Linked DNA regions of Elephas maximus indicus. The protein of the gene in region 2 interacts with the protein of the main gene of each other region in a pairwise test. Links are inferred from orthologs where the notes say so. Each region holds a gene or a part of one and is shown on either strand. Other genes may lie near its edges.

The links. The genes of interacting proteins can lie anywhere in the genome.
Region 1: the proteins of SNCA (region 2) and cytochrome c interact in binary tests that used the Homo sapiens proteins (3 or more experiments, as listed by UniProt). The link is inferred for Elephas maximus indicus from reciprocal best matches to the Homo sapiens genes SNCA and CYCS.

The regions. Positions count from the first base shown.
Region 1 is NC_064826.1:86,186,674-86,194,554, forward strand, and holds cytochrome c, read right to left. Parts: upstream 3,252-7,881; 5' UTR 3,118-3,251; intron 2,186-3,117; 5' UTR 2,178-2,185; coding exon 2,009-2,177; intron 1,896-2,008; coding exon 1,747-1,895; 3' UTR 839-1,746; downstream 1-838. UniProt on the Homo sapiens protein: Electron carrier protein. The oxidized form of the cytochrome c heme group can accept an electron from the heme group of the cytochrome c1 subunit of cytochrome reductase.
Region 2 is NC_064823.1:65,340,353-65,348,314, reverse strand, and holds the start of SNCA (alpha-synuclein), read right to left. Parts: upstream 3,551-7,962; 5' UTR 3,464-3,550; intron 3,437-3,463; exon of another isoform or gene 3,120-3,436; intron 1,974-3,119; 5' UTR 1,949-1,973; coding exon 1,828-1,948; intron 1-1,827. UniProt on the Homo sapiens protein: Neuronal protein that plays several roles in synaptic activity such as regulation of synaptic vesicle trafficking and subsequent neurotransmitter release.

The DNA.
Region 1 (7,881 bases), on a different chromosome or scaffold from region 2:
ACTCTTAAGATCAAGTTTTTGTACTCATTAACCATGCTCATTTTCTGTATTATTCCCAAGATACATGAAAATGAACTCTCTGGCCTGCCAAGACTTTCGGTGGTGGTCTAGAATTATCCTTTAAAAGCTAATTGCTCCTGTCTCTGAATACCATTAACTTACGCAGTTATTAAGATCTGCTAAAAGGCTTTACCTCTGAAGGATTTACTGGATCCAATTTTTAATCCCCCACCATTAGCACTCCGGCTAGGATTTCATATGACTTACAGTGGGCTCTCCTTTGCCTTCCAGATTGTTTCTGCCATCTGTGTCCAGACTGATCTCCTCACCTTCTCATCTTCCCTTTGACTGAAAATAAGGCTCACTGGTTACAAATTACTCAGACCTTTAACGCCTATCTAATAATTTCCATCATTTTTGAAATAACTGACCAGTTTCTCTTCCCAGTCTCCTTACTATCCCACAAAGATAAATACTCTTCCACCAGCACAGATTTGTTACCCTCACTGAGAAATTCTCACCATTCTTTACAGCTTAGTTTAGTTCACCTTCTCTATAAAATTTCCAGGGGCTACTCTCAATATGTATAAAAAAAACTGTGTGTAAAATAATTTAGTACGTAATTATACACTGTTACGTTATCACAAAACTTTGACCAGGGCACACTCTTCTACCCACATCTTGTGTAAATGCTGTAGTTCTTATTCTGGCCAAGCTAACTCTAAGACTGAATTATTGATGTTGCTTTGTGGGTCTTCAGAGCTATTACACTTTTTAACCATTATGATTTTGACATGAGTCATTAAATCAAGCACATTCAAAAAATTATAATGTTATTTTTTAATTACATTAAACCTGATGACCAATTTACAAACTTGTGCCTATAATATATTGCCTCTACTTTAATCCTTCTAACAAGTTGATAAAAGCACCATAACCAATCACACGTATACAGTGGTTCAACAGTTTTATGTGTTTTTGAATAGCTGCTTAAAGACAATCCTGAATTGCAACTTAGTGTTAGATGGTAAAGAATTTAAAATCCAACTTGCTACTATATCTCATCATGCTGACTTTTAAAAGGATCTGACCTTCTAGATCATCTACAGTATGTGAGAAGTGTTAGTCTTTACTTTTTTTTTTTAAATATTCTTTTTTGATATCATAAACAAACCACACTGCAATGCCTTTTCTTAATTAAAAGGCAACACTTTAGATACAGGGAATTTTAATTAGACTGACATAGTTATGAGCAAAACAATAAAGTGGCCATAACTAACTTATCTCCAACCCTTGTGTTTAAATAGGCTGATGACTACAAACTGAAATACAGTCTTGCTCTGTTCCATTAGACAGTGAAGAAGTTTCCCCACTATTTAAATATATCCATGTCACCAATTATATAAATCTAAATATAAAATTAATCTCTTATAGGTTGTGAGATGGCATTTACCATCTTTGTGAAAAATCGACCACTATTAATCCAATTTAGCCTCAAGTGCAAACACATCTTTAAAAGGGAAAAGGAATACCACTTGCTGAACTGAAATTACTATCAAAATTTAAAAAGTTAGATCGTATTTATTTAACCACAGCCAATCTTATTTACTCCAGGAATGCCCAACAAAAACATTCTATCAGCCATTCATGATCTGAATTCTGGTGTATGAGATCACTTTAAATACGGTACATGTAAAAAAAGTCAAGAGACATTACTATTGTAATAAATAAGGCAGTGGCCAACTATTACTCATTAGTAGCTTGCTTGAGATAAGCTATCAAGTCTGCCCTTTCTGCCTTCTTCTTAATGCCAGCAAAGATCATTTTTGTTCCAGGGATGTACTTCTTGGGATTCTCCAAATACTCCATCAGTGTGTCCTCTCCCCAGGTGATACCTATGCAAGGAGAGATTCACTGAGTAAATATTTCACATTCTTGATAAAGGGTTTACTGTAAGCTAAAGTCATGCAATTGTACTTTTGGTTATTAACAACCATACCCCTCTTACCTTTGTTCTTATTGGCATCCGTGTAAGAGAATCCAGGGGCTTGACCAGTCTTCCGCCCAAACAAGCCGTGCAGATTTGGCCCAGTCTTGTGCTTGCCTCCCTTTTCCACTGTGTGGCACTGGGAACATTTCTGAACAAAAATCTTCTTGCCCTTCTCGACATCACCCATTTTGAATTCTAAAAGTGAATGAAAGCTCCAAGTTAGTAATTCTTCCCCCAAGAAACAAATACAGTGGAAACCAATGACCACTCCAGTCACTTAATTATGAATCCATTGCTACTCTATGATGTTAAATACCAGGTTGAATCTTGTTTTACTTAGTACACTCCCAACAGGCTCTTTAATATCAAAACACTGTTTAGAAAAAAAAGACTCAAACACACACACTTCTGTATGTGTGTAAGGGATTTAAGATTAAAGCCCAAGTAAGCAAAATGAAACCCATTTCAAGCACCAGTTTCAAGATAGCAAGTCAAGGTCACAGAAGTATCACAATTCTGAATTAGGGGCAGGTGAGGGCTCTGCGAGGTTCCCCCCAGGGACATGCTCACCCTCCCAGCTCTGGGATCCCCGGGAGCCATCACGAGGTCACCCATACAGGCCGCTTTCAAGGAAACTAAGATGAAAACCGCCTTACTGCGATGCCTCAGCAGGTTAACGGGGGCAGCCACTACTGATCTGAAAAAATGATCCCTTACGAAAGGAAAAGCAGCTTTTATTTTCTTTGAAGGAAGACGAGAAGTGCCGCTGTCTCCCTACTCCTCCTCACCGGGGAGCAAGTCTTGCCTATTTTCAAGGTCCCTCGGCACCGAAAACGCGACGGCCTGCGTCTTCTTCGGATCCGCATTCAAGCCGCCTTCGGGCCTTCAAGGCTTTGGCCGAATCCCTGTTTCTACCTTGATGGGGTTCCGCTGCCATCCAGCCTGGCCCACTGGGTTCTGCCTGACCACAGCCCCGGGTCGTCACTCCAGGTCCTGCCTGCCCCACACGGGCTCCACCCGGCAGTCCCGGACGCGGACCTCTAGCCGCCCGCGCGCCCGCCACGTAGGTGTGTGCCCCTCACGGCTCAGCCTCCTACCCGCTGAGCCTTCCGGGGCCCCGTGCTTACCACTATCTCTTCGCGCGCAACTCGAAGGTCACCGCTCAAAAGCCGGACGTCCCGCTCTCTAACTCCAAGGACACGCCTGTCCGGGACTATGAACCGGTGTTGGTGCAACCAAACCCGCTACGCCCTCCCACGTCCCGGCGTGCGGCACGGCCAGCAGCTCCGGGGTGACGTCAGCGCGCCTGATTGGCTCCAGTCTACCCGGCTTGCCTCAGGGACTTGCGCGCGCCTGCCGGCTAGCAGGGTAGGCTGTGCCGCGTGAGTGCCCTATGTCTCGAGGCCTCACTTGCCTGGCCTTTACGACAGGCCATTGAACGTACGACGTAAAGGTTGTGCCGGAAGGGGCTGAAAAGGCGCACGTGGCTTTTGTGCGTATGCGTACATTGGTGCGGCTCGTGGAGCTGAGTCGCAGAGGTGGATCTGGGGCTAAGGAAACGGGTGTTCGGCACGTGACGCAATACGCTTTGAGGACAGTGTTTTGCCTTCTCAGAGGGAGCCGCCCCAACTTTGACTTACTTAGACGTCTCCTGGCTGCCATCCTTTAAGCTGGCGACCGTTACCCAGACTGGGTCATAGTTCCACAGCTGGCGCCAGCAGCACCTCAGACGGCGGGTCTGGAGCCAGAAGTTACACGATTTGGACATGATCCTGTGTCTGTTTTTTTCCACCTCCACGCTATTACTTTAAGTTATCTTCTTCCAAATCTTCCTTTGATGGTCGCCCCAAGACTAGGGAGGATGCTGTAATTGCGGCAGGGACAAGACTATAGCCCTGAACCCTCACCTGCAGGCTTTTCTACCAACTTCCTTTCCTCCAATTTGTGTGCGTTCCGTGGAGGGTGCGGGCAGCATCTAGGAAGAAACATTAATTTTAGATCATTAGAGGATTCTTGAAGAGCTCTGGTGGCACAGTGGTTAAAGTGCTCGGCTGCTGACCAACCAAAAGATTGGTAGTTTGACCTCACCAGCAGCTCTGCGGGAGGAAGATGTGACAGTCTGCTTTCCTAAAGATTGACAGCCTTGAAAACCCTATAACCCATTGCAGTGGAGTTGATTCTGACTCATAGCGACCCCATAGGACAGAGTAGAACTAACCCACATGGTTGCCAAGTCACGCCTGCTGTATTCCAAATGCCAGTCTTTTGATTAGCAGCCGTAGCTCTTACCCAGTAGCAGTTAAACTTCATCCTGAAGTGTCGCTATGAGTCAGAATTGACTCCAGGGCATCGGATTTGGTTTTGTATTTTAGAGGATTTTTGGAAATTTCCATCCTTTCTAGGTAAAGGTCATGTTAAAGTAAGCTAATGAGGTTGGGGCTATATTAGAAATGCAAGTTTGATCACCAGTACTGCTGCTGTCAGTGGAATCCCATTCATGGTGACGTCATATATATCCAGAGTACAACTGTGCATAAGGTTTTCTATGGCTGTTTTTCGAATTAAAAAAGTAAAATCCAGGCCTTTCTTTTAAGGCGTGTCTGGGTGGACTCGAGCTTCCAACCATTTAGTTAGCATCCAACCAAAGTAACCATTTACACCACTTGGAAACTCCACAGTTCCATAGCTCCCAGTCATACTTTTCCTCCAAAACTGGCTCCCCTTCCCAACGTGCTCAGTTCTGTCACTTGTGAGTTTCTTCTCAACTCCTCCCTTTCTCCTCAAATTCAGCTGCGAAGTTCTGATAAAATTTTCTCCTTTCCTATATTTAAAAAACTCTTTTACCATGGGGTCAATTCTGACTCATGACAACCCCATGTGTTTCAGAGTAGAATTGCATAGGGCTTTCAATGGTTGTGAATCCTGGTCTTGCAATGGTTAAGTGCTTGGCTACTAACTGAAATATCAGTGATTCGAACCCACCAGTGGCTCCACAGGAGAAAAGGCCTGGTATTCTGCTTCCATAAAGATTATAGCCTAGGAAACCCTATGGGGCAGTTCTACTCTGTCATATAGGATCAACTCAATGGCACAGAACAGTGATCTTACAGAAGTAGATCACTAGACCTTTCTTCCATGGTGTCGCTGGCTGGATTCAGACCACCAACCTTTTGGTTAGTAGTTGAGCGCAAACTGTTGGCACTGCATACTCTATATAGCACTGCCACATTCGTCCCATCAAGTGTTTATTGAATAGCATATTATGTGGTAGGCACTTGTCTAGGTTCCTGGAGTAAATCAGTGAGGACTTCTTCTCTAGTGGAGCTTACATTCTAAGATCTTTTCTCCCACTCCCAACTTAAGCAGTAGATAGTAGAAGGTTGACCTAGATTACCTTAGATCACTTCCAAACCACTGGTTTTATGATTTCTGCTCAGACTACTCATCCTTCTGTTTGACTGGATTATTTCTGTTGTTTTCTGTCTCCTGACTTCAATTCCCTCTCTGTAGTCTCTCACACTGCTGCCACAGTTTTCCTATAAATCCGAGCAGAAATCAAAACACTTAATTCAAGACCCTGTGGCTTTTGGAGGGGACCAAGATAGAGACCATTTCAAGAATAGATTTGATGCATTGAACACTAATAACTGAAGACCCGATGAGTTGTGAAATGACATCAAGGACATCACACATGAAGAAAGCAAAAGGTCATTAAAAAAAAACAGAAAAAAACAAAATGGATGTCAGAGGAGACTCTGAAAGTTGCACTTGAACATCCAGTGACTAAAGCAAAAGGAAGAAACAATGAAGTAAAAGAGCTGAACAGAAGATTTCAAGGGATGGCTCAATTGTTGTAGTTGTTGTTAGGTGCCGTCGAGTTAGTTCTGACTCACAGCAACCCTATGCACAACAGGATGAAACACTGCCTGGTCCTACACCGTCCTCACAATTGTTGTTATACTCGAGCCCATTGTTGCAGCCACTGTGTCAGTCCACCTTGTTGAGGGTCTTCCTCTTTTCCGCTGACCCTGTACTTTACCAAGCATGATGTCCTTCTCCAGGGACTGATCCCCCTTGACAGCATGTCCTAAGCATGTAAGGCACAGTATTGCCATCCTTGCTTCTAAGGAACATTCTGTTTGTACTTCCAAGACAGATTTGTTTGTTCTTTTGGCAGTCCGTGGGTGGCTTGGTAAGACAAAATAAAGTATTATAATGAAATGTGCAAAGACCTGGAGTTAGAAAACCAAAAGGGAAGAACATGCTTAGCACTTCTCAAGCTGAAAGGACTGAAGAGAAAATTAAAGCTTTTAGTTGAACTATTGAAGGATTCTAAGCAAAATATTGAACAACACAGGAAGCATCAAAAGAAGATGGAAGGAAAACACAGAGTCACTGTGCCAAAAAGAATGGATCAATGTTCACCCATTTCAGGAGGTAGCATATGATCAAGAATTGATGGTATTGAAAGAAGAATTCCAAGGTGCACTGAATGCAGTGGTGAAAAACAAGGCTTCAGGAATTGATGGACTACCAATTGAGAAGTTTCAACAAACAGATGCAACGCTGGAAATGCTCATTTGTCTTTGTCAAGAAATTTGAAAGACAGCTACCAGGCCATCCAACTGGAAGAAATCCATATTTGTGTCCATTCCAAAGAAAGGTGATCCTCCCAGAATGTGGAAATTATCAAACAATACCAGTAATATCTGTAAAAATGCCATGGTGGGGGCATCTGACCTCCACTAACTTCACAAGGGGGAGAGAATCATTAGCATCAATGACCCAAGGCTGATTCCTGTGAGGCAAGGGTGGGGTGGGGTTGGGGGTGGTCCTCCAGCCTTTTTAGCAATTCTGACACCAGCCGTCCTTCCCACAGCACTCTCTACTTCTTTGCTGGGTTCAGTATTTCATTGGAATGGCCACACAAAACTTACAGACCATACTAAAAGTTACATGAGGTTTATTAGGGTACTAACAGGTTACAATTCAGGATACAGTTCTTTGATCAGGACAGCCTCTTTCTCAGCTGTGCCCACATATTGGCCTCTGTCTGGTCCTTGACCTTATGACCCCTTGGGCCTTTTGGACTGGCCTGGCCTCTACCCTGCTCAGGCAAGTGTTACAAAGTCCTTTTAGCTCTGCTGGTGAGTGCCAAGAGGCACCCCACTGCACCAGGAAGCGTCCTGCCCAAAGGAGCTCAGCTCTCTCGCTCAGGGAGCTGGGAAGCTCACTGCATTGTCTCCTGCTGGTCTCATGGCTCTGCTGCTGCTGCTTCTCTGCCCCTGATTCTTGCCATCTTGCCATCTCTGGTGTTAGAGCTTATTCTGTCTGTCTCCTGGGTCTAGGAGGGTCTCAGTGCAGGACCCAAGTCCAAAAGACACGCTCTGCTCCAGTCTCTTCTTTTTTGGTGGCAGTCAAGTCCTCCTCTGCTGTGGAATTGGCTCTCTTTTAGGCCCAATGGGATGGCAAAACTGCCCAATCCCCATGTTAGGGTTCCATACACCTTATTTGCATGGACTCTAGGCCACAAGGTGGCCATGCACCTTATTTACATTATTAACAAGTTATCCAGTCTCATTCATGGGTCATAAGCACCTCATTTGCATAATCCCACCCAGTCATTTGGTGGCAGTTATAAAGACTATGGCTAGAAAGGCCATATCAAGTAATTCACTGCACCACAATGTTACATGCAAGTAAAATCTTGATGAAGATAATTAAAAAATGGTTGCAGCAGTACTTAGGGAACTGCCAGAAATTCAAGCCGGATTCAGAAGAGGATGTGGAGAGAGGGACATCATTGCTGATGTCAGGCGGATCTTGACTAAAAGCAGAGAATACCAGAAGGATGTTTACCTGTTTTGTTGACTATGCAAAGGCATTCAATG
Region 2 (7,962 bases):
TTCAGGTCAATTCCAACTCATAGCAACCTGGTAGGACAGAGTAGAATTGCCCCAAGGAGCGGCTGGTGGATTTGAACTGTTTCCAAGGAGCGGCTGGTGGATTTGAACTGTTGACTTTTTGGTTAGCTGCCAAGCTCTTAACCATTGTGCCACCAGGGCTCCATGGAGTTAATATTAGCACCTTAAAAAAATCTTTAAGGTTACAAAGTTATAAAGTAACTTAAGTCAAAGAACAGTTACAAGCATGTACTTACACAACTTGGAAAAGTTAGAACAGATAACAAAGATATAATAAAGCACATGTCGTTAATTCAGTATTCCAAATTCCACCTAAAGAAATATAACTCATATTTCACAACAAACTTGACATTAATTCATCAAGTTTATCTGCTTTATAACATTCTTTATTTCAATGATTTTTCTGAAAATATCTTTTAAGGTAGAGAAAGTAATTTAATAGAAGATTTGTGGTAAGATCAACTCTACATAAAAAGGAGTTTATGAACAATGAAAAATAATAATCTGATGTAAATTTTGATGAAAGGCATTCATAAAAATCATTCCAAGTATAATTTTTTTCCTGCTAATCTACACTGCATAAACAGCGTAGCTTTCTTTCTCCCTCCAGACACAGGATAGCACCAGTGTCATCTATGCCATCCAGTATAGTTATCCTCCACCTTACTACTCACCCCATGGTTACTGCTACTATAGCTGCTCCCAGATAATGTGGAAGAGTTAAAAGGAGAAAAGGAGAAAGAGAACAAAAAGAATGAGCAGAGTGGCTGAGTGTGGGAGTGTGTGTGTGTGTATCTATTCCTGTTATATCACAGCGCCTTCCCCAAAGAATTTGAAGTGGTTTGTAAAATAACACCCAACCTAACACAGTTCTAGATATAAATAAGGAAAAAAGATCAAGACTTCTGTATATATTCCAAGGTGGGAATTTAGGAACGAGTAGAAGTGGTAAGCATCAATCTCATTATTTAGTATGTGCCGTTTGAGAAATGTATTATATAGACGTTGCAGAGATATTAGCAGTAGTTCTCAACCACTTTCTCAGCCTACCAGATGGCTACAATACGTAACTCCACCGAAGACTAATCTGTCCTTTCCATTTTAGGGCCACAGTACGTCTTTTTTTATACATCACAGACCAAAACTGAACGAAACCCATTGCCATTGAGTCGATTCTGACTCATAGGAACCCTATAGGACAGAGTAGAACTGCCGCATAGGGTTTCCAAGGAGCTGCTGGTAGATTTGAACTGCCGACTTTTTTGGTTAATAGCCGAACACCTAACCATTCTGCAACCAGGGATCCAATATCTAAATCTTATTTAAAATCAGAATACATAAAAAATTAGGAAACATTATGATGATAAAAGAAATCAAAGACCTATGAATGATTTTGATTCCTAAGAATATTCTTGATTATTTTTTATAAGTCTCTGAATTTTAAAAACTTCATCTGAAGTACAGTCACTTATACACATGGGTCACCATGAGTCAGTACTGAATCAACAGCGACAGGTTTGTTTTTTTTTAATGCAGGGAGGCACTTATTTAAAAAAAAAAAAGGAACTAAAAAATCCTAAATATTATTATAAAATTGAATAATCAGGAAAAACAAAAGGTTATCTTCATTTTGTACTATTAGCCGAAATGCACACATTCCCCTACCCACACATACCTGTGACTCAGTGCATTCTCTTTGCAAGTGATGATGCAAAGATGAATCAAGCAAAAAAACAGCATTTAGAGCATCAACCATCCTAACCCATCAGTCATGGATAAATATTAAAATGACAGTCGGGGTTTACCTACCTACGTAGAGAACACCCTCTTTTGTCTTTCCTGCTGCTTCTGCCACACCCTGTTTGGTCTTTTCAGCAGCAGCCACTACTCCTTCCTTGGCCTTTGAAAGTCCTTTCATGAATACATCCATGGCTAATGAATTCCTTTACACCACCCTGGAGAACACAAAATACACTTTGAATGAGAACTTTTTGGTAAAACAAAACAAAATTAAAAGCACCCAAGGTAAAAACCACTGAGAAATCAGTAGAAATCCCAAAAGTGTGAGACACAAACTTTTAAGTGTATCCTCATTCCGATGGCTGAACAAAACAACACTTCTTTAGATTTTGCTTTAAAAATTTAGCGTCCCTCATCCACCTTGCCAGTAAAAGTCTGGCTGCCTAACATGGATTAGGATGGATCATCAGGACTGTTTCTACTGCATTTTGCAAGTGGAGTAGCATGAAAGGATGGACCCCTCTTCCAACTTCCTAGGATCCAACTCGTGACAGTTTAAGTTAGATGCATGTTTAGAAGAAAACCACAAGAAAAGAAAAGAAAAGGAGTTGTAGGTGTGCATTCAGAGGCATCCTAGAAATGAATCCCAGAATAGGACTGAAAGCTTGATCTTGGTGGAAAGAGGCGGGAAGAGAACTACCCACCCCCCACACCGGGTGTGGCTGTACCTCTGGACAGAAGCAGGCTTCCAGCCCTCCTAATCCACTGGACCATCCACCCCACTCTCTGCTATCTATCCAGTGCAGGCGCTGTTCACACCGGCTGGTGGTCTCCAGATTAGCGCCACCCGAGGGGCAGTTCTCCGCCCTAACCGGCCAGGGGACCCCGTGTCCAGTGGTGAAGGCTGGGCCTGCACCTGTTAACCCTTTAACACATGTCGACTTGTTCTTCTGGCACTTCCGTTTAATTTTTTTTTGCAAAATGCAGCTTGCTTACATTACAGGGAAAACAGAGAGGGTGGAGTGGAGGATTTAGGTAAGGGAGTAATAAAAGTTGGAAATTCATCCGTCCATTGAGCATTCTCGCCTTTCCCAAAGGAAAAGCGTATCCGGAGAATCAGCCTGATCTCTCAGCCTTTGGGGTGGGTAAGGAGAATATGGGAATCAGGTGGAAAGCCAAATCCACTTACTTTCCTCCAGCTCACCAAAAGCACAAATAACCACCGCCAAGAGACTTGGCACAGCCTGTCCTGACCGCAGCAGCAACCCCCCCGCCCTCCACCCCCAGGCGTCCTCATCTCCCACCAGATTTTCTCCAAGATTTCCAAAGCTCCTTGCCCCTTTAGCTCCACAGGTACTTACCTGAGCCCCTCTGCTCCTCCGAAACTCTGTTTCCTCCCCCTCTTTTTAAATTTAAGCAAATGTTATTGAAATGAGAACTGGGAGGAGAGAAGTGCCCAGGAAGGGCGGAGCAGCTCCAGGAGAGGGAGGGTCCCCCAAAGGAGGCTGCTGTCAGCACAACCTGGCGACGAGAGGCTGGGGACGTGGGAGGCGAACCCGCGAACCTGTCGTCAAATTACCACTCCCCGTCCCCCGCACAAGAGGATCCAAGAGAAAGACAAGGTCGGAAGGGAAGGCGGCGAGAGCTGGAGAAGGATGCTAAGGCGGGGCTGGGTCCCGAGGTCCGCTCTAAAGACAGCACACACCTCACTGTCCCGCCTCGCCTTTCACGGTCGCTCGCCCCCTCTCTCCGGCCCCCTTCAGGTCGTCGTGGTCTTGCTCCTCCTGCTCTTCTTCCTCCTTCTTCTGCGCTCACCGCCCCCTCAGCTGATTTGTCAGCGCCTCTCCCCGCCCCACTCCAGGCGCCCTCTGCTTTCCTTGCCTCGTGCGCTTCGCTCGTTTTCCTGGATGGAGGGTGGAGGGACGGAAGGGGGTGTCTTTCCAACTCCAGTCTCCCGCCTGGTCCTGGAGGCAGGAAGGTGGAATGTTCGGCGTGTCACCTCAAGTTCAGGGTCACGGGGGAGTCCTGTGGCGAGCGTGAGCGGTTAGGCTTTGGCTGATGTCTCTCCTGCTTTCCCACAGCCTCTCTTTCCTTGTCTCCTCCTTTCGCTCTGGTTCTTCGTGAGGACCCCTAGTCAGCGCCAACCCCTGGGAGCCAGAAGCAATCTCTCGAGGAGCTGCTGAAGGACTCAGATAGATTAGGATGGTGCTCATATACGTACCGACAAGAGCACATTTCTCTCCGATCGCTTAAATTTGGTAAACGGTCGCAGAATACAAAGTCAGAGGTCGATTTTGTTCAAATATCCTCCATCCTAACCTCGGATGAGTCCGAAAATGTCCTGCAGGTGGAGAGGAGACTAGTAAGGAAGAGTTACAGGTTGATGAGGCAGGAGGAAGCTCGACAAATCCTCTTCCCACCCCACTGTCACCATTTTCTTTTCCACCAATCAGAGGATGCCAGACGCCGGTTTTTTTCCCCATCTGTGGAATAAATATTCCCCAGCCGTCGAAAACAAGCAGTCAGTCTAAGGTTTTTCGCTCTCTAAATGGAATTTACTTTCCAGACCACCAAGCACCTGGATGAAGGAGACAAATCCAGTCTGGTTTTTCCCCCTGAACGATGATTCCAATTTCCCTTCGGCTGCTTGTAAGACCGAGACTCAGAAGCACTCAACTCATCTTTCTAACTTCAGATTCACTCTGCCCTCGAAGTTGACACTGAACCTCCCCTAGCCCCCTCTGGACAGACAGACGGACCGACAGACAGTCAGACACACACACACACGAACGCACGTGCTCGAGTTTCAAAACGTCTTTTTTTTTTTTTTTTTTTGCATCGCTTAACACATTTTCACCTCTTTCAGAGCTTGGGAGGAAACAGATGTTCCTGGATCGGACCAGAATAGAGAATCAAGCTCCTCCCTCTAGCAGAAGGCCTTTGCTTTCTTTTGCCTGGATTAGGAGAATGATTTCACAGCTTGAAGGAAAAAACAAGTCTTTGCTGTATGGCTTTTTGTTTGTTTATTTGTTTTATTTATTAAAGATGTTTTCGAGGATATATATATATAGGTGGACAGTGCAAATCCACCAGCCGCTCCTTGGAAACCCTAAGGGGCAGTTCTCCTCTTTCCTACACGGTCCCAATGGGTATACATACATACATATACATTTAAAAAAAATTTTTTTATGTGTCTACATATATATATTCAGTAGAAAAAAGTAGAGAGTGAAACTGAGGTCATAAATATTTATTGCTTAAATACCTCCTTGCACTATTGTTTTATCTTTTTTTTAAAGCAGGCTTTCCAAAAACAGTAGCTCATAATTTGTTTCCTTGGGATCAGAGAAAGAAGGTTGAACCTGGGAACTGGTTAAACCTTAAACAATTATTTTCTGCTTCTGTTCCCCGATGACTCTTTGGTAAATGAGAAAATGAACCCAAAAGATTCTGTTCTTTTCAATTTATTATTACGGAAAATGTTCAAACATATACAAAAGTAGAGTAGACTAAAGGACCCTCATGTGAATACCACACAACTTCCACATTTATACGCCTACACATGTTGTCACAAAGCTCCCTCTATTTGTAAGTAAATCCCAGATACTACAAGCATCTTTTCATCTGTAAATACTTCCACATACATCCATAAGGTGTAAGAACTACTTTAAAACAAGCACAATAGCATTTAGGTGATTTTTAAAATTTAAGTATAATTTAAATACAGTGAAAAGTGTCTCTTTAAATCAGCTCTGAAAAATTCATGTATTAGTATAACCCACAACATTCTGAAGACACAGAGCATTGCCATCACTCCAGAATGTTCCCTTGTGCCCTTTCTTATTTGTGCCTATGCTTGGATTTCATTACACAAAATCATAGAGTATGAGCTTTCCTTGTACCTGTCTGACTTCTCTCACTCAGCGTATTTGTGAGGTTTGTTCCTACTCAGTTGTTGCACGCGTCAGTAGTGTTTCTTATTGCTTTCCATTGCTTCTTTTTATTGTTGCCAATAATAAATGCTTTCCACTGTGACCTATCACAGCTGGAGCTGGCTCCCTTAAATATTATGATAATTATTTAATGTATTATTTCATAGGATTTCTTTATAAGTTAACAGGGACGTTCTTGAGACTCGGTGCCTTAAATCAAAGGGGTAACTAAAATGACAGCTATTTTAGGTCCCACAGCAGACCAATGGGAGATTTATTTTGGGGTAGTGGTTGTTTTTTTGCTTTTCATAAAATAACATGATTCCACACCTTTATATGGTACTTCATGCTCTGCAAAGGACTTTTGCCTGAATACACCACCATTTTTATCCATTCTTCCATGTTCATGTACTTTCTGGTTTTTTCCAGCTTGAGGCTGTTTAGAAAAATCAAATTAATCTCAGGTCAATTTTTTTATCAGTTCTGTTCCCCTCCATTCCACTTTTGTTCTGATACCAGCTACACATGCAGCATTTCCTCCTCGGACCCTAACCACCTGGATTTAGGTCAGACCTCACAAGTTATAGGGCACTGTTCTCCAGACTTCCAAGTCTGCCCAAGATTTTAGATGCCAGCTGCAAGCTTGGGAGTCCCCAGTGGCCCCCCCATCTTTTCTGACCTGCTATGTACAAATTCAGGGGTTCCCTTTACCCCTTCAGAATACCAGCCATAAGCTCAGGATTCCCAAGTCCCTTCGCTTCTGACTTAGTTTCTCCTAACTCAGATTCCATAATTTGCTAGAACAACTCATAGAACTCATGGAAAGCGTTATACTTGTATTACAGTTGTATTACAAGAAAAAGATACAAATAAAGAGATGCATAGGGTGAGGTCTGGGAGGGTTCTCAACTCGGAGCTTCCATGTCCCAAAAAGGGACTCACTATTCTCCCAAGTGTATTGACATCTTTCACCAATTAGGCAGTCACTGGAGCTGCCAAGTCCAGCATCAATTTTGGGACCTCAGTTAGTATGCATGATTGATTGATTCATGCCCTACCTCCGTAAAGTTGGCTGCTATCACGTGGTGGTCTTTCTAGCCTGTCTAGGTACCACCTGAGTCACCTCTTTAGCATAACTTGTCGGGTCTGGAGTTCTCTTCGATAAGAAAGATACTTCAATAACTGGAGAAATCCCAAGATTCTAGAGGTTATCTGTCAGGAACCAGAAAAAAAAAAAAAACCCAATGCCATCGAGTCGATTCCGACTCATAGCGACTCATAGGAACCAGAAAAAGATCAAATTATTTGAATGAAGTTAATGGAAACCTCAGTGGGGCTTGTCATGGATTGAATTGCATCTCCCCCAAAAATATATATCAACTTGGTGAGGCCATGATTTCCAGTACTGTGTGGTTGTCCTCCATTTTGTGATTGTAATTTTATGTTGAGAAGATTAGGGTGGGATTGTAACACCACTCTTACTCAGGTCACCTCCCTGATCCAAGGTAAAGGGAGTTTCCCTAGGGTGTGGCCTGCACCACGTTTTATCTCTCAAGAGATAAAAGGAAAGGGAAGCAAGCAGACAGTTGGAGACCTCGTACCACCAAGAGAGCAGCACCAGGAGCAGAGCGCATCCTTTGGATCCAAGGTCCCTGCGCCTGAGAAGCTCCTTGGCCAGGGGAAGTTTGAGGACAAGGACTCTTCCTCCAGAGCTGACAGAGAGAGAAAGCCTTCCCCTGGGGCCGACCCCCTGAATTTGGACTTGTAATCTACTAGACTGTGAGAAAATAAATTTCCCTTTGTTAAAGCCATCCACTTGTGGTATTTCTGTTATGGCAGCACTAGATAATTAAGACAGGGCTGTTACGAATAAAGTTGCTCTGAACATTCTTCTGCAAGTCTTTTTACTCTTGTTGTTGCTAGGTGCCATCAAGTTGGGTCCAATTCATAGTGACTGTATGTAAAACAGAGTGGAATAGAGCCTGGTCCTGTGACATCCTCACAGTCATTGCTATGTTTGATGCCATTGTTGCACCCACCATGTCAACTCATCTCATTGAAGGTCTTCCTCTACTTTACCAAACATGATGTCCTTCTCCAGGGTCTGGTCCCTCCTGATAACATGTCCAAAGTACATGAGATAAAGTCTCTCCATTCTCACTTTTAAGGAACATTCTATTCTGGCTGTAGTTCTTCCAAGACAGATTCGTTGATTCTTCTGGTAGTCGATGGTATATTCAATATTCTTTTTGTATGTGTATGTGTGTATACA